Linked DNA regions of Xenopus tropicalis. The protein of the gene in region 2 purifies or fractionates together with the protein of the main gene of each other region. This does not show direct contact. Links are inferred from orthologs where the notes say so. Each region holds a gene or a part of one and is shown on either strand. Other genes may lie near its edges. The genes, in order: acad9 and eya2.

Evidence for each region.
Region 1: the proteins of eya2 (region 2) and acad9 purify together in Homo sapiens (affinity purification with mass spectrometry; 3 studies listed by BioGRID and IntAct, with this or other methods). This does not show direct contact. The link is inferred for Xenopus tropicalis from reciprocal best matches to the Homo sapiens genes EYA2 and ACAD9.

Annotation. Positions count from the first base shown.
Region 1 is NC_030680.2:151,556,372-151,566,851, reverse strand, and holds the start of acad9 (acyl-CoA dehydrogenase family member 9, mitochondrial), read right to left. Parts: upstream 5,438-10,480; 5' UTR 5,412-5,437; coding exon 5,259-5,411; intron 1,550-5,258; coding exon 1,456-1,549; intron 1,209-1,455; coding exon 1,107-1,208; intron 877-1,106; coding exon 770-876; intron 323-769; coding exon 222-322; intron 1-221. UniProt on the Homo sapiens protein: As part of the MCIA complex, primarily participates in the assembly of the mitochondrial complex I and therefore plays a role in oxidative phosphorylation.
Region 2 is NC_030686.2:37,297,782-37,308,597, forward strand, and holds the end of eya2 (eyes absent homolog 2), read right to left. Parts: intron 10,026-10,816; coding exon 9,911-10,025; intron 8,456-9,910; coding exon 8,334-8,455; intron 7,856-8,333; coding exon 7,756-7,855; coding exon of another isoform or gene 7,755-7,755; intron 4,808-7,754; coding exon 4,510-4,807; 3' UTR 3,964-4,509; downstream 1-3,963. UniProt on the Homo sapiens protein: Functions both as protein phosphatase and as transcriptional coactivator for SIX1, and probably also for SIX2, SIX4 and SIX5.

The DNA.
Region 1 (10,480 bases), on a different chromosome or scaffold from region 2:
TGGACACAGGTTCTACGGGGGGGGGGATTAGGGGCATATATATATATATATATATATATATATATATATATATATATATATATATATATATATATATATATATACAGGGGAACAGTGGATACAGGTTCTACGGGGGGGGGGGGGATTAGGGGCACACATGTCCTGGGGGGGTTAGGGGCATGTAGGCTATATAGGGGGCACACAGGGGGCCCTGTACTTACCTGCCCGGCTCTGTGAGACAAAAGGCTGCTATGTGCTCCCCAGATGCAAGTTTGGGCAGATATTTTGCCTTTTGCTCATCATTTCCAGCAATAAGGATCCCCTAGAGGCAAAGGCAGAACATGAAAGTGTGAGTCTCCAGCAGGGATTGGGTGGGATGAAGCCAAAACCCACTGCAGCCACGCCCGCTAACCCACTGCAGCCACGCCCGCTAACCCACTGCAGCCACGCCCGCTAACCCACTGCAGCCACGCCCGCTAACCCACTGCAGCCACGCCCGCTAACCCACTGCAGCCACGCCCGCTAACCCACTGCAGCCACGCCCGCTAACCCACTGCAGCCACGCCCGCTAACCCACTGCAGCCACGCCCGCTAACCTGGTGCAGAGGGGCATTTATAAAAACCGGGCAAATTTGCACCTGAGCTGAGCTGTTACCACTGGCAACCAATCAGATGCAACTGGCTCAAAATAGCTAATTGCTGATTGGTTGCTATGGGTAACTGCCGCTGTTTATAAATGAGCCCCATGGAGTCCAAACTGCCCCTGTACCTTCAGTCCTATGGCCTGATGAGCTGCCAGGGTAACAGCAATGGCGCCGTCCAGAGAGGTGATTTCACCCAGGCGTGCGTACATTGTATTGGATAACCCCAGCCCCCCTGTGGGGAGGAAACAGTCACAGTTAGATCAGCCATTGCTCTCTAATGGGGCTACACCATGTCCCCCCAAAGCCCCCCAGTCTGCATACAGTAAGGATGCTACAATAGAGAGAAAAGGCAAAACCACCGCCACTGGGCACAGAGCTGACATCTAATTACTCCAAACTGCCCCATATAACAGTTCAGCTCAGTGCCAGCAATAACCCAGCATGGGGGGGGGGGGCACTTACCATACTCCTCGGGGATCTGCATGCCAAACAGACCCAGGTTTTTTAATCCATCCAGAGTTTCAGGGGGAATCTTGGCATTCTGGTCAATCAGTTTGGAATCCACTGTAACGGGAGAAGCAAAACTCATAAGGGGCAACAACTGGGCAAGGGGGGGGGGGCACAGCACATATTCCCAGCCTCTGCCCCAAAAATAACCAGGAAGGGACAGTAATAACATTGCACCCAATAACAATGCCCCTGGCCAGACTGAGCCCCCTCCACCCCCAGGCTGTCTCTACATACGGTACCTATCAGGGCCGGGGCAGATGTGGGGCGAGTGGCCGCTCTTTATAATAATAAGGGCCCAAACCTTCCTCATTGAAGAACTTCTCCACGGGGGCCACAAGCTGGTTGATCTCGTCCAGCTCCTCCTTAGTGATTTCGGGGTACGGGAAGACTTCTTCCTGCAAGAGAACATCGGCCGCTCACAGAGACTGACGCGCTTCATGGTATCGGCAGGAGAGGGCGCCAGGAGTTTATTTATTCCAGCAGGAACGCATTGTGGCCCCCCCAGTTGCTGGGGCCCCAAAACCCTGGAAGTCTCTCACTAACAAAAAATACTGTCCCTTACTCCCTGTTGTCTCTGTCTCAGGATTGCTCTGCTCTCTCACTCACCTGAGGGTGTAGCAGTCTCTTGCCCCCCTACCCTTTCTGACTCGGGTGAGGGGGGGCACCAGTTCTGACTCTCTCCAACTCACTTTCTCTCTCAGGGGCCCCTCTGGTCTCTCTCTCAGGGGCCCCCTCTGGTCTCTCTCTCAGGGGCCCCCTCTGGTCTCTCTCTCAGGGGCCCCCTCTGGTCTCTCTCTCAGGGGCCCCCTCTGGTCTCTCTCTCAGGGGCCCCCTCTGGTCTCTCTCTCAGGGGCCCCCTCTGGTCTCTCTCTCAGGGGCCCCCTCTGGTCTCTCTCTCAGGGGCCCCCTCTGGAATCTCTCTCAGGGGCCCCCTCTGGAATCTCTCTCAGGGGCCCCCTCTGGAATCTCTCTCAGGGGCCCCCTCTGGAATCTCTCTCAGGGGCCCCCTCTGGAATCTCTCTCAGGGGCCCCCTCTGGACTCTCTCTCAGGGGCCCCCTCTGGACTCTCTCTCAGGGGCCCCCTCTGGACTCTCTCTCAGGGGCCCCCTCTGGACTCTCTCTCAGGGGCCCCTTGGATCTCTCTCAGGGGCCCCCTCTGGATTCTCTCTCAGGGGCCCGCTCTGGACTCTCTCTCAGGGGCCCCCCCTCTGGCCTCGTCTCTCAGGGGCCCCCCCTGGTCTCTCTCTCAGCCGCCCCCCCCTCTGGTCTCTCTCTCAGCCCCCCCTCTGGCCTCGTCTCTGCAGCCGCCCCCCCCTCTGGTCTCTCTCTCAAGCCCCCCCCCTCCCTCTGGTCCTTCTCTCAGCCCCCCCCCCTCTGGCCTCTCTCTCAGCCCCCCCCCTCTGGTCTCTTCTCTCAGGCCCCGCCCCCCCCTTCTGGGTCTCTCCTCTCAGCCCCGCCCCCCTCTGGCTCTCTCTCAGCCCCCCCCCTCTGGCTCTCTCTTCAGCCCCCCCCCCTCTGGCTCTCCTCTCAGCCCCCCCTCCCTCTGGTCTCTCTCTCAGCCCCCCCCTCTGGTCTGCCCCCCTCTGGCCTCTCTCTAGCCCCCCCCCTTCTGGTCTCTCTCTCAAGCCCCCCGCCCCTCGGCTCTCTCGTCAGCCCCCCCCGCCTCTGGCCTCTCTCTCAGCCCCCCCCCCTCTGGCCTCTCTCTCAGCCCCCCCCCTCTGGCCTCTCTCTCAGCCACCCCCCCCCCTCTGGCCTGCTCTCTCAGCCCCCCCCCCTCTGGCCTCTCTCTCAGCCCCCGTCTGGTCTCTCTCACAGCCCCCCCCCCTCTGGTCTCTCTCTTCAGCCCCCCCCTCCTGGTCTCTCTCCTCAGCCCCCCCCCTCTGGGTCTCAGCCTTCTCTCAGCCCCCCCCTCTGGCCTCTTCTCTCACCCCCCCAGTCTGGCCTCTCTCTCAGCCCGCCCTCTGGTTCTCCTCTCAGCCCCCCGCCTCTGGTCTCTCTCTCAGCCGCCCCCCCCCCTGGCCTCGTCTCTCAGCCCCCCCCTCTGGTTCTCTCTCAGCCCCCCCCCTCTGGGGCTCTCTCTCAGCCCCCCCCCTCTGGCCTCTCTCTCAGCCCGCCCCCCCCCCCTCTGGCTCTCTCTCAGCCCCCCCCCCCCCCCCTCTGGCCTCTCTCTCAGCCCCCCGCCCCTCTGGCCTCTCTCTCAGCCCCCCCCCCCCTCTGGCCTCTCTCTCAGCCCCCCCCCCTCTGGCCTCTCTCTCAGCCCCCCCCCCTCTGGCCTCTCTCTCAGCCCCCCCTCTGGCCTCTCTCTCAGCCCCCCCCCCCTCTGGCCTCTCTCTCAGCCCCCCCCCTCTGGCCTCTCTCTCAGCCCCCCCCCCCCCTCTGGCCTCTCTCTCAGCCCCCCCCCCTCTGGCCTCTCTCTCAGCCCCCCCCTCTGGCCTCTCTCTCAGCCCCCCCCCCCTCTGGCCTCTCTCTCAGCCCCCCCCCCTCTGGCCTCTCTCTCAGCCCCCCCCCTCTGGCCTCTCTCTCAGCCCCCCCCCTTGGCCCTCTCTCTCAGCCCCCCCCCCCTCTGCCTCTCTCTCAGCCCCCCCCCTCTGGCCTCTCTCTCAGCCCCCCCCCCCTCTGGCCTCTCTCTCAGCCCCCCTCCTGGCCTCTCTCTCAGCCCCCCCCCCCCTCTGGCCCTCTCTCTCAAGCCCCCCCCTCTGGCCTCTCTCCTCAGCCCCCCCCCCCTCTGGCCCTCTCCTCAGCCCCCCCCCCTCTGGCCCTCTCTCAGCCCCCCCCCCCTCTGGCCTCTCTCTCAGCCCCCCCCCCCTCTGGCCTCCTCTCTCAGCCCCCCCCCCTCTGGCCTCTCTCTCAGCCCCCCCCCCTCTGGCCTCTCTCTCAGCCCCCCCCCCCTCTGGCCTCTCTCTCAGCCCCCCCCCCCCCTCTGGCCTCTCTCTCAGCCCCCCCCTCTGGCCTCTCTCTCACCCCCCCCCCTCTGGCCTCTCTCTCAAGCCCCCCCCCCTCTGGCCCTCTCTCTCAGCCCCCCCCCCTCTGGCCTCTCTCTCAGCCCCCCCCCCCCCTCTGGCCTCTCTCTCAGCCCCCCCCTCTGGCCTCTGCCCCTCAGCCCCCCCCCCCCCTCTGGCCTCTCTCTCAGCCCCCCCCCCCTCTGGCCTCTCTCTCAAGCCCCCCCCCCTCTGGCCTCTCTCTCAGCCCCCCCCCTCTGGCCTCTCTCTCAGCCCCCCCCCTCTGGCCTCTCTCTCAGCCCCCCCCCCCTGGCCTCTCTCTCAGCCCCCCCCCTCTGGCCTCTCTCTCAGCCCCCCCCCCCCCTCTGGCCTCTCTCTCAGCCCCCCCCCCCCTGGCCTCTCTCTCAGCCCCCCCCCCCTGGCCTCTCTCTCAGCCCCCCCCTCTGGCCTCTCTCTCAGCCCCCCCCCCTCTGGCCTCTCTCTCAGCCCCCCCCCCCTCTGGCCTGCTCTCTCAGCCCCCCCCCCTGGCCTCTCTCTCAGCCCCCCCCCCCCCTCTGGCCTCTCTCTCAGCCCCCCCCCCTCTGGCCTCTCTCTCAGCCCCCCCCCCCTCTGGCCTCTCTCTCAGCCCCCCCCCCTCTGGCCTCTCTCTCAGCCCCCGCCCCCCCCCCTCTGGCCTCTCTCTCAGCCCCCCCCCCTCTGGCCTCTCTCTCAGCCCCCCCCCCCCTCTGGCCTCTCTCTCAGCCCCCCCCTGCCTCTCTCAGCCCCCCCCCCTCTGGCCTCTCTCTCAGCCCCCCCCCCCTCTGGCCTCTCTCTCAGCCCCCCCCCCTCTGGCCTCTCTCTCAGCCCCCCCCCCCTCTGGCCTCTCTCTCAGCCCCCCCCCCTCTGGCCTCTCTCTCAGCCCCCCCCCTCTGGCCTCTCTCTCAGCCCCCCCCCCTCTGGCCTCTCTCTCAGCCCCCCCTCTGGCCTCTCTCTCAGCCCCCCCCTCTGGCCTCTCTCTCAGCCCCCCCCCCTCTGGCCTCTCTCTCAGCCCCCCCTCTGGCCTCTCTCTCAGCCCCCCCTCTGGCCTCTCTCTCAGCCCCCCCCCCCCCCTACTACATGACATACTGGGGAACCCCTCTGCTCACTCCCCGGCGCCTGTTGGGGCCCCCCGAACCCCCCATCTCACCTTACGGATTGTTCCCAGGAAGAGCTCCTTGGCGTAGGCGAGTCTCCGCGGGTGGGAACTGAAGTACTTGGGGGTAAGTACTGACCCGGCCGGACCCGCCCACACTCGGGCTAATTGCGCCGCCCGGCCGCACACCCGCTGTAACCCGAACATCTTCCCAATGTCACTCCCTGACTGACTGCCCGACTGATAGACAGCTCTGGCGCCGATAATATACGTCACTAAGACGCGCATGAAAGCCGCTTGTCTGCACTTCCGCCCACATTCTCAGAGACCTTCTGATTGGCTGGCCCGAGTCCATGTGACTTCTTGCTGCACCAGTGGGATTCCCGCGTTTGGCCTGTGTGTTGTTCTTAGCGGGACCCTGAGAGCAGGGTTGTCAGGTTGGCGGGTTTTCCACCAAATTGGGCTACTAATTCAAATCCCAGGCGGGTTTCCAAAGTACAAACCCCCCAAGGTACAGTTTTGGGCTATTTTTTGGAGCCTTGGCGGGTTTGTAGTTTGGAAACTAGCCAAAGTTTTTTCCCCTCAGTGTAAGTCTGTCCCGCTGCATGCTGGGTAATGTAGTTTGTATCTAACAATTAGCCTACAGGTAGGATAAATATAAAACTACAATACCCAGCATGCAATTGGACAGTATAGACAGTGGCTTCTATTCTGTTTAGGCTCAACCTGTCTGCCCTACACCCTGCTCTATAGGGTATGGGATTGTACCATTATTTCCTGCTGTGATGTTATTTTGTGCAGTTTATCTTTAAGCTATAACTCAGGATCTCTTGGAGCTTCTGAGAGTTGTAGTTCAACGCACCCATATGTATATCATATCTGGGGTTATATCCGCCTGTGAGGGATCTCAGATAGGGGCACTTACTGACGGCGTTGCACTTGGTTTCTAATTCATTTCATGAATAAGTTGTGTTTTAAAGAAATAAATGACCTTGGACCATGGATTTTACATTCACTGTGAGAGATTCGCCACATACACTGCAGCTTCTCCCGCCGGGCCCGAGCGCTTCTGGGCAGGAACAGCCAAAGGGCAATAGATTCTTATTCCTCTGATAAGCAAGTAACTAATGACATAAAGGGTTAAATGGCCTGGGGCCACTGATGTCAACCCATAAACCTGCAGGTAGGGGAACCCCGCATTGTATGGGACCCATATACCTGCAGGTAGGGGAACCCCGCATTGTATGGGACCCATATGCCTGCAGGTAGGGGAACCCCGCATTGTATGGGACCCATATGCCTGCAGGTAGGGGAACCCCGCATTGTATGGGACCCATATGCCTGCAGGTAGGGGAACCCCGCATTGTATGGGACCCATATGCCTGCAGGGAGGGGAACCCCACATTGTATGGGACCCATATACCTGCAAGTAGGGGAACCCCGCATTGTATGGGACCCATATACCTGCAGGTAGGGGTACCCCGCATTGTATGGGACCCATATGCCTGCAGGGAGGGGTACCCCACATTGTATGGGACCCATATACCTGCAGGTAGGGGTACCCCGCATTGTATGGGACCCATATGCCTGCAGGGAGGGGTACCCCACATTGTATGGGACCCATATACCTGCAGGTAGGGGTACCCCACATGATAGAGGCACTGGGGCCAATGGACTGAGGACCTTACCTGAGGGGGGGGTGCATATGGGGAAGATGTCCTTACCTGGTGGGGAGATACAGACCTGGGCTGGAAATCTGCAAACTCTGGAAAATGCCATAAGTTCCTTACCTGGGGGTGTTACTGACAGCTCACAGCAGGGGGGCCGGTCTTACTGACAGCAGGGGGGCCGGTATTACTGACAACTGACAGCAGGGGGGCCGGTATTACTGACAACTGACAGCAGGGGGCCCCGCGTGCAGGGAGACTTTCTATAGAAATAATTAGTTTGGCCTTTAGCAAACATAACAGGAGGTAAATAAAATCTGTTGCTCAAATGGAAGAGCCTCACAGGCTGCAGCACCAATCAACTAGCGGCAACTCTGCTCCCACAATCCCCTGCTGCTCCCTTGCCATAACCCCCCCAGTACATAAGCACCCTGTATGCCCACAGGAACCTGACTGTATGTCATTATAGAGTATTGCCCATTGGTCCCCAGCCCTAGGGGCCCTGGCCAATGACACCCCTGGGGACACAGGGAAAGGAGCAAAGGAGTAAATGAGTGCGCCCCAGACTTTATTGGGGGAGAATTGATTTCTCTGATTGGGAATTGATAAGGAATTTTTTTGCCTATGTAAGTGCCCCCCCCTGAAGCTGCTGCCCCAGGCACGTGCCCTCAGGCAATACAAGAATATGCCCCTAAGCACAAACAGCTCTTCAATGTACAGGTAAAAGCCCCCAGGTGGTAAATAATAGCCCTGTAGAGGTACATGGGGTACTATGGACAAAACAGCAGTCTCTCCTGGTGCATTTACCCTTCTGCAGGAGTAATTGCCCCCTGTGGCCCGTTTTCTTATTTTAATGGGACTTTCAGGGTTTTGCCTTTATTTCCCAGCAATCACTTCCAATCCTGAGCCCCTGCGTGCCCCCCCGGAACAGGGAACTTCACCATGGAAACAACACTAAATGCCAGCTTTATCTTCCTCCCTATATGCCAGCTGGGGGGGGGTCTTTACCCCCAGAAATCTCATTACAGAGTGCATATTTGAGGGTCAGAGGGCCGGAATTATCAGTAAGGTTTGAACTAAGCACCCCAAGCATTTTGGGGCGCAGCCCCACCATCCCCCACCCCAAATGCATTACCCCCCTACTGTATATAAATGTTTTTACTTGTCCTTTAATACTGTAACAGAGGAGTCAATTGGACCTGCTGCGAGCCCCAACTTGCCTCTGTGGGGGCCCCCAAGACACAGTGGCGCCCCCCAGGCGCTCTGGCGAGAAGCAACAAGAGCCACAAACCTTCTCTTTTATGGTTTATTGAGTTTATCCACATGATCACAGTTATTATTATTATTATCATTGTACACGGAGGGGTAGGTACTACTTACAGACAGAATGCATATTCCAGTTCCGCACTTTCCTTTCCTTCTGTGAGTTACAAAATGCCCCTCGGTGCTTACGGGGGGGAAGGGGTTAACAGTCTGGTTGCTAATTCTAAGGTTTCCTATCGAATGCCGTGGTTATTAAAGAGTCAGTGAGGGGGGGGTGGGGAATTTACACACTATGTACAGTAACCGCTATATATCGGCCCCCTGGGGCCCCTCCTGGGACAGTCCATTTCCCAGCCGCTTCCATGTTGGATTATATACAGTTTCACCGCAGGCAGGAAGAGGAATGATATCTTACAATGGAACAAACGCATGCCGGACCGCAGAACACACGCTCCAATGGGACAGCAACACTTAGAGAGTCAATATACAGATCTGTAGAAATATCCGCTGAGCGAGTGTCAGCTTCTTGTACGAGTCCTGGTGCATGCAGCACAGCGTGGGGCTCACTCCGCACCGGGTAGCGGCCCAGCTTGCGTCTTCATATTGCAATACAATACATGTACAGTATATAGGAATAGAATTTAATCATTTGATTTACCCTTTACATTGTTGCACACGTCATTCTTAACTGAAAAAATACAAATACAGTGAGTGCTGATTCCAGGGAAGAGTCTCGCTGCCCGGGGGCCATGTCCGGCCGAGAGTGCGCCCACCTACATGCACTTACCCACCGGCTAGAGCCACGGGCAACTGTAGTATTTACCCCCTCCCTGTATCAGAGTTTCACCCTCTGGCTCTTTTATTATTCAATTGCATTTATTGGGGTGTAATAATAGAAACGGGGGTGTCTCCAGTATTCTAACATCAGAAGGAGATCTCACCATCAGTGATACATTGGGGGTGGGGAGGAAAGGGGATCTCACCATCAGCATAGGAAGGGGTTCCTTACTGTAAGGGCAGTCAGGTTATGGGATTCCCTACCAAGAGAGGGGGAATGAGTGATACATTGGGGGTGGGGAGGGAAGGGGATCTCACCATCAGCATAGGAAGGGGTTCCTTACTGTAAGGGCAGTCAGGTTATGGGATTCCCTACCAAGAGAGGGGGAATGAGTGATACATTGGGGGTGGGGAGGAAAGGGGATCTCACCATCAGCATAGGAAGGGGTTCCTTACTGTAAGGGCAGTCAGGTTATGGGGTTCCCTACCAAGAGAGGGGGAATGAGTGATACATTGGGGGTGGGGAGGAAAGGGGATCTCACCATCAGCATAGGAAGGGGTTCCTTACTGTAAGGGCAGTCAGGTTATGGGGTTCCCTACCAAGAGAGGGGGAATGAGTGATACATTGGGGGTGGGGAGGGAAGGGGATCTCACCATCAGCATAGGAAGGGGTTCCTTACTGTAAGGGCAGTCAGGTTATGGGATTCCCTACCAAGAGAGGGGGAATGAGTGATACATTGGGGGTGGGGAGGAAAGGGGATCTCACCATCAGCATAGGAAGGGGTTCCTTACTGTAAGGGCAGTCAGGTTATGGGGTTCCCTACTGGAATGGGGGGGGGGGTAAGCTATTTATTGATTGAGGGGTGGGGATTAAGTGATTTATTAGTTGGATTTTCAGTTACTTGGACTTTTGTAAAGTTCTATATTTGTACCCACAATGCACCCTTCTCTGTAGATATGAATAGATATTTCTGTAGGGGCTGCCATACTGCTTGCTGCTGCTCCTGTGAGACCTCTGGAGACACATTGTGTGTATATATATATATATGTATAGGTATATAGAGGGAGGCAGAGCCAAAGGGTTAACCCTACGGGGGCGGCCGCCCATCTTCCCTGGAAGCAGCCGCAGGTTACAGGTAGGTGCTACTCTAGTACAGAGGTAAGTGAGGCTACAGAGTAAATAGGTGATTATTAGAAGTCTTTACTATTATGAACAATAATACTGATATATTCTGCAAATATACAATATACTCTGTGTGGGAGACTATAGGGCATGCAGTACAGTTCCCTCTCCTTGCAACAGCGCCCCCTACCCACCCACATACACTAAGGGGCACCCCGAGGGGGCGGCTCATGTAGCTACGGACTGATGTAATGGGGGGGGGGATAGAAAAATATTCCTGTGAACCCCCATATTCTGAGGGAAAGCGTTCGCCCCGCCTCCATAATAATAACAAGTGCTTTGTTTCTATCCTGCTGGTTTTCATTTAATCTAAGGGGCCACGGGAACTACAACTCCCAGCGCCCCCGGGGGTTACGGGTCGGGGGGGGGGGGGTAGAATTCTAAAA
Region 2 (10,816 bases):
GAACAAGAAGCCAGTGCTCAGTGATAGAACTGCACTTTGGCTGAGGGGGTGTAGGGAGAGGGGGACATGAACATCCTCAAGGAGTGTCCTACAACAAACAGGATGGGTGATATATCATACATGCAATTTCCATTGTGCTTATCCCGCCATGTGTTCTGGGGTATTATACATGGAATTGGCTCTGTATTTATCCTGCCGTGTGTTCTGGGGTATTATACATGGAATTGGCACTGTATTTATTCTGCCGTGTGTTCTTGGGTATTATACATGGAATTGGCTCTGTATTTATTCTGCCGTGTGTTCTTGGGTATTATACATGGAATTGGCACTGTATTTATTCTGCCGTGTGTTCTTGGGTATTATACATGGAATTGGCACTGTATTTATTCTGCCGTGTGTTCTTGGGTATTATACATGGAATTGGCACTGTATTTATTCTGCCGTGTGTTCTTGGGTATTATACATGGAATTGGCTCTGTATTTATTCTGCCGTGTGTTCTGGGGTATTATACATGGAATTGGCACTGTATTTATCCTGCCGTGTGTTGTGGGGTATTATACATGGAATTGGCACTGTATTTATCCTGCTGTGTGTTCTGGGGTATTATACATGGAATTGGCACTGTATTTATCCTGCTGTGTGTTCTTGGGTATTATACATGGAATTGGCACTGTATTTATCCTGCCGTGTGTTCTGGGGTATTATACATGGAATTGGCACTGTATTTATCCTGCCGTGTGTTGTGGGGTATTATACATGGAATTGGCACTGTATTTATCCTGCTGTGTGTTCTGGGGTATTATACATGGAATTGGCACTGTATTTATCCTGATGTGTGTTCTGGGGTATTATACATGGAATTGGCACTGTATTTATCCTGATGTGTGTTCTGGGGTATTATACATGGAATTGGCACTGTATTTATCCTGATGTGTGTTCTGGGGTATTATACATGGAATTGGCACTGTATTTATCCTGCCGTGTGTTCTGGGGTATTATACATGGAATTGGCTCTGTATTTATCCTGCCGTGTGTTCTGGGGTATTATACATGGAATTGGCACTGTATTTATCCTGCCGTGTGTTCTGGGGTATTATACATGGAATTGGCACTGTATTTATCCTGCCGTGTGTTCTTGGGTATTATACATGGAATTGGCTTTGTATTTATTCTGCCGTGTGTTCTTGGGTATTATACATGGAATTGGCTCTGTATTTATCCTGCCATGTGTTCTGGGGTATTATACATGGAATTGGCACTGTATTTATCCTGCCGTGTGTTCTGGGGTATTATACATGGAACTGGCACTGTATTTATCCTGCTGTCTGTTCTGGGGTATTATACATGGAATTGGCACTGTATTTATCCTGCCGTGTGTTCTGGGGCAATGGGTGGGCCAGTGATTTGGGGCAGCTTCAAACATGTTGAAATTCAGTAAATGCAACATATGAAATAGATGGCAATCAGTTTTAGCACAATTCCCTGTCATACCATAAACCCTCTATGATTTGCTTTTGTTTTTTCTGCTACTGGCCCTTTAAGTGTTTATGAAGCAGTTTTGGTGCAACAGCTGTATTAGTGAGGGGTAAATATTCTGTGATTCCCTTGGAATGTTTGCCTTTGATCAGTGGAGGTCAGTGGTAGGGCAGAGCAGAGGGCAATTGCCCTGGGCGCCCAGAATCCCAGGACGTTCTCCGAGGTCTAAGTGAAAGCACAAAGGACATATTGGGCCACAGCAGTAAAGTGTTTGCTCCTCCGTCTGATGCCCATATAACTGTGCCTACTGTGCCTTCCCTGGCTTTTATGCATATTGATTGGGCAAGGGCAGTGATTGGGCAAGGGCAGTGATTGGGCAAGGGCATTGTGCCAGGCTGTGGGCACAAGGGAACACTTTACTTTTTACCTGAAACCAACCAGGTCAGGGTTGTGCCCTCATCCAGCATCAGTGCAACCAGGCCACCTGGCCTACCCTGCCCACCCCTAGTTCCGACTCTGCACACCCATGTAGCATTTTGAAGGCCAATGATGGGCCTTGATTTGTAAATAGGCAGAAGAATTGCACCTCTGCCTTATATTCACAGGAAGCGCCCGACATTGACATTCTCGGAAAGAAAAGGATTGTGGGTAAAATACCATGGCAAAAAGGTGCCAAACGGCATAGTCCAATTCCAAACTGGGCTTGATCCTTGTTTTTGTTGTTTTAATTATCAGACCAGACTGGAATTTTGCAACGTGTTAGAATCTTACTCAGTCTTTCAGAGCAAAGAGGGTTAAGTGATCCCAGATGGCGAGTGAAGTCTGCGGGAGAGAGCGATTATCCCAAGCCGCGCTATAAGGGCTTCCTGGTCTCAGCCATTACGTCCATCACAAAATCATCAGGCTCTTGTTTGTTAGAGAGTGGAACAAGTCTGTACTGATCTCACACCTTCTCAGCCCAAAGGCAACCAACCATGCGCGTCTGGCTCTTTCCCACGCGTAATCCCCAAACTAAAATATTATTGTCTAACACCCCCCCACGCCAGGATTAAACCAACACATTTAATTGCTGGCTGTTAGGTTAAAGAGGTAATAGGCCTTTTTTAATGTCCCATTAGATCTAACTGGTTCCCTTTGCTTTGTTATGCTCTAGCTTCTATGAATGTAACACTACCTTCCTGAAAGCAATGGTAAGATTTGGTGGAGGAACAATAGTCTTGATTTGGACTTGGGCCCCTGGTTCAAGTGAATTCAAACCTTAAGGCTGATGCCAGACGTGGCGTAGGGCTGATATTTTCGGCAAGAGGAAAAACGATTGGCGAAAATACAGCCCTATGCCTGCTACTTGTGCCTGCACCCGAATAAATAAGATACGCTCAGGTGCAGGCACAAGTAGCCGATATACGCAAGACAACGCAAGACTTTGCATTATCTCATGTTTTTTTGCGTATATCGGCTTATTGTGCCTGCACCTGAGCGTATCTTATTCATTCGGGTGCAGGCACAAGTAGCAGGTGTAGGGCTGTATTTTCACCAATCGTTTTTCCTCTTGCCGAAAATATCAGCCCAGTCTGTCATCAGCCTAAGGCTACAAGGTACAATGACATTACTGACAATTCTATGCTTCCTATTTTGTGGAACAGTTTGGGGAAAGCCCTTTGCTGTTTCAGCACAATAATGCCCACATGTTCCGTACATAATGGGTTTGCTGAGACGGAAGTGCAAGAACCTAACTGGCCTGCACAGAACTCTGGTTTCAACACAACCGAACCACTTTGGGATGAATTGGAACCCTAACTGTGAGCCGGGTCTGATCCCCAACATCATTTCCCAACCTCACTAATGTTCTTGTGGCTGAATGGGAGCAACTCCCAGCAACAATGTTCCAACATCCAGTGGGGAACTTCCCAAAAGACATGGGCTAGTTTAGGGAGGAAAGACTTCATAGTGAATGGGATGTTGGACAGGAAGGTATCTGAATACTGTTCATTATGTAGGTCGATACATAGGGGTTGGGATTGTGTAAAGGTGGCCATGCACTGCCAAACAAGGGGATCTTCTCCTGATATGTCCATCTAAGGTGGGCAACATTGAGCTAATTCGGCTATTTGGCCCTAGGGCATAGACATGTCGGGCCGAGGACCACATCAACAATCAGATGCAGCCCCCGATCCGATGGAAAATCAAACCTGCCTGATCGAGATCTACCCAATTTTTGGGCAGATCTCGGTAGGGTAGGACCGTCGGGGGTGCCCATACACGGGCAGATAAGCTGCCAATTTGGTCTAAAGGACCTGAATCAGCAGCTAAACTTTGCCCGTGTATGGCCACCTTAAGATACCCTGCACCAAATGTACCACCACCACTATAGGCCTCTAGCTGTCCCACTACATCTATGACTGGTAACGGAATATTCCAGGCAAGAGATGATCCGATTCCCAGGAGATATAAGTGCAAACCAATAAGGAAACACTACAAGCTGGGTATGAATTTCCCCAAAATGTAAACGTAGTTTTCTTTAATGCCTTTCATTCATGACAACATATTTTTTTTTTTTGTTTTACCTATATAAAAAAAAAAGAAAGATGGCAGCATAAGGCACGGCGTAGACGCATGCACAGTCCACATACCATCTATACAATGTTCAAACATAACTATAGTAATTTGTACCAACCATTACTAATGTACACAACCTGATTGTCCCCAGCCTTTGCCGTGAAGAAAAAATTATTAAATAAGATCGACATACACCCGCCCTCCCACTCTGACAGATAAAAACTCAGGAAAAGGAGCATAATGACAGGAAAAAAAAATTGAAAGAAGTCCATAAATTAGAAAAAAAAACATACAAAAAAAAAAAAAAAAGAAATCAACAATTTGACTCAGTTAAGTTCCATGGTGGGCAATCCATTGGGTAGTGGGCTCGGCCAGTCTATCTGTGTGGCCAATACTTATTTCTTTAAAGTTGATCCTTTGCGCCATCAAGTCCATTTGTGCTTATAAATAGTCCGTGGAGGGTGGATAAACCCGCACTAGTAGTCCAGGTTCAGCAATAAGCATCTGATTAAATTATACAAGTTCTGGGTTGGGCTGGACTCTCCGAGCAACCCTTCCGCCTGGTGGAGTTTCCCTAGGGCTGTCCTTGGAAGAAGCAAGCCGGTGTTCCTAACCAACTGAGAAAGTTCTAGTTGAGAGACTTGCTGAGGGAGGGGCCTGCTAACGACCAGCACGGAACTCCTCCAGCCTGCTACAAGTACTCCAGTTCTAGAGCATGCCGCAATGCTTCCAGATCGGCGTGGCAAGAGATTCTCCAGAATGGCATGTTGTGCTGGAATGGGGGAAAAAGGGGAATTGTTAAAAGGTGAAACCCAGTAGATCCATTTTCAAAATTATTCGGCCACTAGAGGGCATTTTTCTATTAAAACAGGGGGGCCCTATACTTTTCGTTATCCATAAGTCAAACTCAAAGTGTTGGGGTGCTGACACAAGCATGAAAAAAGTTCAATGGTTGCCAAATGGGTGGCATATTGGTAGCCTGTTATTGACTACCAGCCTGCAGGAGGCGCTCTTTGGTCTTGGTCTTTTTGTGCCTCCGGAACCTGTCCCCAAACCAGGAATTCAATAACAAGCAGCTGCTGTAAGGCCCCTGGAAGCAAGATTTATAATGGCAGTGGTTGGGCATCACTGCTTTAGAGCATAAATATGCGACTAAATACACCCCTATTGTAAAATATATGGATATTAGAAGTCACCAAAGAGTTAATGAACCAATAAAGCCTGATGGCTACCAGTTGAGTGCATTGGCATGGGTCACAGAACTCCAGGATAACGATAAACTGCCATATTTTCCAACAAAAGAGAAATCAGTTGTGTATAATATACTCGTTTCAATGAATTGTTTGACACAAGTGACCTCACAAAGTACTAATTATAACTGATGACATCACTAAGTACCATTTATAAGGATATATTTTACATCTTATTCATGGCTTCTATCATATAAGACTCAGTCTCAGCCTGGGATGGGAGCTTAAGGCTGCGTTGGATTCATCTCATGGATGACGTTCCGTGGCTTCACAGGCCATTTCTTCCTTGAGGTTCCGGAATGATAACTCTAAAACTATGTTGAGCAACACAATAGATAGTAGAAGCCACATTGCTGGTGGAAGGGAAAGCCTCCTGCATGACTGTGATTGCCATGAATAAAAGCCAGTTGGTTTGTTGATGTATGATGATTTGAGGGGCGCTAAAGCTTCAGAAAATGAGCCTCATCCATCACCGCGCCTGACAGCTGCGGAAAGGAATGTTTGGGGAAATAGAAGCACGAAGCCTTTTAACCTGCAGCTCAGAGAAACACAACTCAGATCCGGGTCATTGCTTTCAAAGAGAAGCCTCATCTTTGATGCATCAGCGTTGAATTCCCCATACAGCCGGCACAGAATAAACCTACTTAGGGCCAAATGAAGTCTCATTCATTCAATTGTTTTATTTAATGTACAAAGTGATTTATTTGTGTTTTTGGAATATTTATGGTTTAAATACTACTAGATAATCCATTTGCACTCATATTTGGCACTGCTATAGGGGTAGCTAGCAATCTAGTAATACTGTGTATATATATACTATCGATCTTTAAGACATTATGGGCACTTGTATTAAGTTAGGCAATAGATAGATAGATGATAGATGATAGATAGATGATAGATAGATGATAGATAGGTAGATAGATATATAGATAGATAGGTAGATGATAGATCGATAGATGATAGATAGATAGATAGATCGATAATAGATAGATGATAGATAGATGATATATAGATAGATTATAGATAGATGATAGATAGATAGATAGATAGATAGATAGATAGATAGATGATAGATAGATAGATGATAGATACAGTAGATAGATGATAGATAGATAGATAGATAGATGATAGATACAGTAGATAGATGATAGATGATAGATAGATAGTAGATAGATAGTGGATACATAAATAAAAGAAAGATAGATGAACAGATAGGTAGATAAACATTTAGATAGATGTTATAGAATGGCCAAGTCTAAGCAACTTTTCAATTGGTCTTTATTATTTATTATTAATAGTTCTTTCATTATTTGCCTTCTTCTTCTGAGTATGGATCACTATATCCAAATTTAAAAAATATAAAAATGAAATAAACCCAATAGGAATGTTCATGCAGCTTAAATCCCATCAAGTACGAGGTGCCGTTTTATAATTACAGAGAAACAGGAAATAGTTTTAAAAATAAAAAATATTTGCTTAAAATGGGAGATGGCCTCCTCCTAATTCAGAGCTTTCTGGATGACAGGTTTCCGTAAAAGGGATCCCATACCCGCATATAATCAAATTTCCAATTTATCCCAATCATATTTTTCTTCTATAATTGTAAAGACGCTTTCAGTTGGGTTGAATTGCTGATTCTGGGTGTAGGATCTCTTAACCCCTTGAGTTTTGTGAGTCAGTATTTGGGCAATTGGCCCCACCCCCTCCTTGACAGCTCTGATAATTCCCTCAGTTTCCTACAATAAAACTAGAAAGTGCAGGAACTGGAAAAAAAGCTAAAAAAGAAAAAAATTAAATGCTTTTATGGTTAAATAAATTATTAAATCCAATCAGGGTTGGACTGGGGGGTGCAGGGCCCACCGAGCCTACTGCCCCAGGGGCCCCTCACCCTCCACAGGGGCCCCCACTGCGCCACCCTAACCCCCCGCAGGGCAGAGCGGCAACAGCGATTGGCTCTTCCCAGTGCCCCGGCGGCCCAGTCCGACCCTGAATTCAACTGTAAATGGGTTTTATTTACCTTGGAGAATCTTCTAACATTAAATTACATTAGGGTGGATGATTTTAAACAAATCATTATAAAATATGTTTTTTTTTACATTTTCATGACTTTAAAAAAAAAAAATCTATTTACTACTATTAATTACTATTTTGGCGTAAAAAAAGAAATTAGAAAAAATTCAAAAATGACAATTTAGAAAACAAAACAAACCAAATCGTCGTATCTGGTAGAGTTTTGTTTAATTGTTTAGTGGTTTTTGGGGGCGGGGCTAAAGCAAAGAGATTCGCCATAGCAATTGGGAAGGATATTGTAGTTTTAAAAAATGTGATGCTTTTTATAAGCCAGGAACCCAGATAATAAAGCTTTGCTGAGTATGGAAGTCAAAAAGTCAAAGGGCATATGGTTAAAATAAACCCTAAATAAATAATGACATACGCACGGGTATGAACATATGGGTATTTACTACATCTACCTTTTTTGCCGCTTGCTCCTCTTCCACGCCGTCTCCGATTACAACATACACAGCTTTTCTCCCAAATCGCTGCATTATCCTCTCGAAGCAGCACTCCTTCCCTGCATGGACCCGGCAGAAAAAAAAAGAGTAATGACTATTCTAAATGTGAAATAAAATGTGCCACAAAAGTGTTTTTTTATATAAAAAGAACAAAAAATCATTAAATCCTCTTGAAGCAAAAACTCCTTCGTTCTCTGTTTATATTCCGCCTTTTTTTATTTCGCATATGATATTAAAAAAAAAAAAAAAACCAGAGACCGCGGCGATTCTGATAAACTGTTCCTGGTAACAGAATCTCACTGGAGACGTTTCCCAGCCATAAATTAATGCCGGCGTCCTTAGCTTACAAGTAATAAAGGAAATATATATGTTTGGAGGTTCATTTAGCAGCGTGAGATCAGAATATTACAAAATAATCATCATAATATAAATCAAACCAGCATATAGGAGACATGAAAACATAATAAAAATTCTGAAAACAAAATAAAGAAGCTTGGGAGGGGAAAAGCAGCGATGGTTTAATAAAGTTCCACTTACCTGTCTTTGTTGCGCTGTAAATGTTTTCAATAGGAAAGACCGTGCCGAGGCCGTAGAGCAGCACCTTGGCGATGGCCGGTATAAGCTGCGTGGTGGTTACTAGAACATTCACACAGTTGGGCCTGGGAAGGGAAAAGTAATAGAGAAATACAATCAGAAATATTTATTATTGGGATTATTTAAGTACAGGTATAGGGCCCATTATCCAGAATGCTAGGGACCTTAATAAAACCTTAATTAAACCCAATAAAGGGTAATTATATCTTAGTTGGGATCAAGTACAGGTACTGTTTTATTATTACAGAGAAAAGGGAATCATTTAACCATGAAATAAACCCAATAGGGCTGTTCTGCCCCCAATAAGGGGTAATTATATCTTAGTTGGGATCAAGTACAGGTACTGTTTTATTATTACAGAGAAAAGGGAATCATTTAACCATTAAATAAACCTAATAGGACTGTTCTGCCCCCAATAAGGGGTAATTATATCTTAGTTGGGATCAAGTACAGGTACTGTTTTATTATTACAGAGAAAAGGGAATCATTTAACCATTAAATAAACCCAATAGGGCTGTTCTGCCCCCAATAAGGGGTAATTATATCTTAGTTGGGATCAAGTACAGGTACTGTTTTATTATTACAGAGAAAAGGGAATCATTTAACCATGAAATAAACCCAATAGGGCTGTTCTGCCCCCAATAAGGGGTAATTATATCTTAGTTGGGATCAAGTACAGGTACTGTTTTATTATTACAGAGAAAAGGGAATCATTTAACCATTAAATAAACCCAATAGGGCTGTTCTGCCCCCAATAAGGGGTAATTATATCTTAGTTGGGATCAAGTACAGGTACTGTTTTATTATTACAGAGAAAAGGGAATCATTTAACCATTAAATAAACCCAATAGGGCTGTTCTGCCCCCAATAAGGGGTAATTATATCTTAGTTGGGATCAAGTACAGGTACTGTTTTATTATTACAGAGAAAAGGGAATCATTTAACCATTAAATAAACCCAATAGGGCTGTTCTGCCCCCAATAAGGGGTAATTATATCTTAGTTGGGATCAAGTACAGGTACTGTTTTATTATTACAGAGAAAAGGGAATCATTTAACCATTAAATAAACCCAATAGGGCTGTTCTGCCCCCAATAAGGGGTAATTATATCTTAGTTGGGATCAAGTACAGGTACTGTTTTATTATTACAAAGAAAAAAGAGATCAGTTTTAAAATTCTGAATTATTTGATTAAAATGGAGTCTTTTGGAGACGGGCTTTCCGTATTTCAGAGCTTTCTGGATAAGGGACCCCATACTTGTACCATACAAACACCCTGGAAACAATTTCTCTACCCTACACTAAAACTAAAGTCAGAGACTCCATCTTGCTATGACATGTTATATTCAGCCATCATTTATCTGCTGTCTAAGCAAAGTTCCATCCAGTATATTGGATTTTACAAAGCCTGATAATACGTATTTATACTCCCATAGGTTCTACTGAGTATTATTATTAAAAAGCCTATTGAAGAATGCAACCCCTATGGGACTAGGCACAGATATGCCTTCCTGCCCTTACCTAGAGTGTATTAGATTCAATGCTTTAAGTGCATGAGTCAGCCACAGATCAGTCAAGGCCTCCATTTCTGCTCTTAGCTGAAGCCATGTTTCCCTCTTTGGAGCTCCGATTAAACCTAAGAAGACAAAAAAAAAAAGAGAACACAACTCAGCACATTTTGCATAATATTAATATTTAGCCCCGCTAGAAAATAATCACCCGTTTGTAAAGCTTTAGCTGTTGTGACCTACAGATCCCAGCATGCTTAGCTAGCTGGAAGGTTCCATGATAGACAGTTCACATGTATTTGCCAAGCGCTGAAATTTGTCTAAACCTTCCTACAGTTTTTCTAGTAGGCCTTGGGGGTTATGTAGAGATGTGCAAAACATACGTTTGTCATAATTCTGCCTGAATCAGAGCAGTTAAAGCTGCTTGTTAGTTGGCCAGTTACCAGCAGAGGTGCAAACTTTGCCCCATGCTAGTACATAACCCACATATTCAAGAATAGGGCTTGCAGCCATATTTGCAGTTTTCTTTTCTTTCCCAGAATATAGGGTTGCAAACAAAACCTTTTATATGGAATATGCTGCATGGCTGATTAGTAGCCTGCCGCAGACTAAAACGATACAGTGGCAATGCTAATATTTTATTTAATCCTAATATCGTACCATTTTGTGGGAAAAAAAAGTAACACAAATGAGTCAAAACAGGAAGTTTTCTGTCCGGTGAACACAGATCTTAAAAACACTTGCATATAAGATATAAGGGGGAAAGGGGGGGGGAATAATTCATTAAACACACCAGTGGCAGGAGTTCAGCCTGCGTGGGACTGCATGTTTAGAGAACTGATGAGAATCGGCTCTGTTCAAGGTATAATTGCTTCTGCGCATTAACCCTTTACCTGCTGTGGCTACCCAGACATTTGCA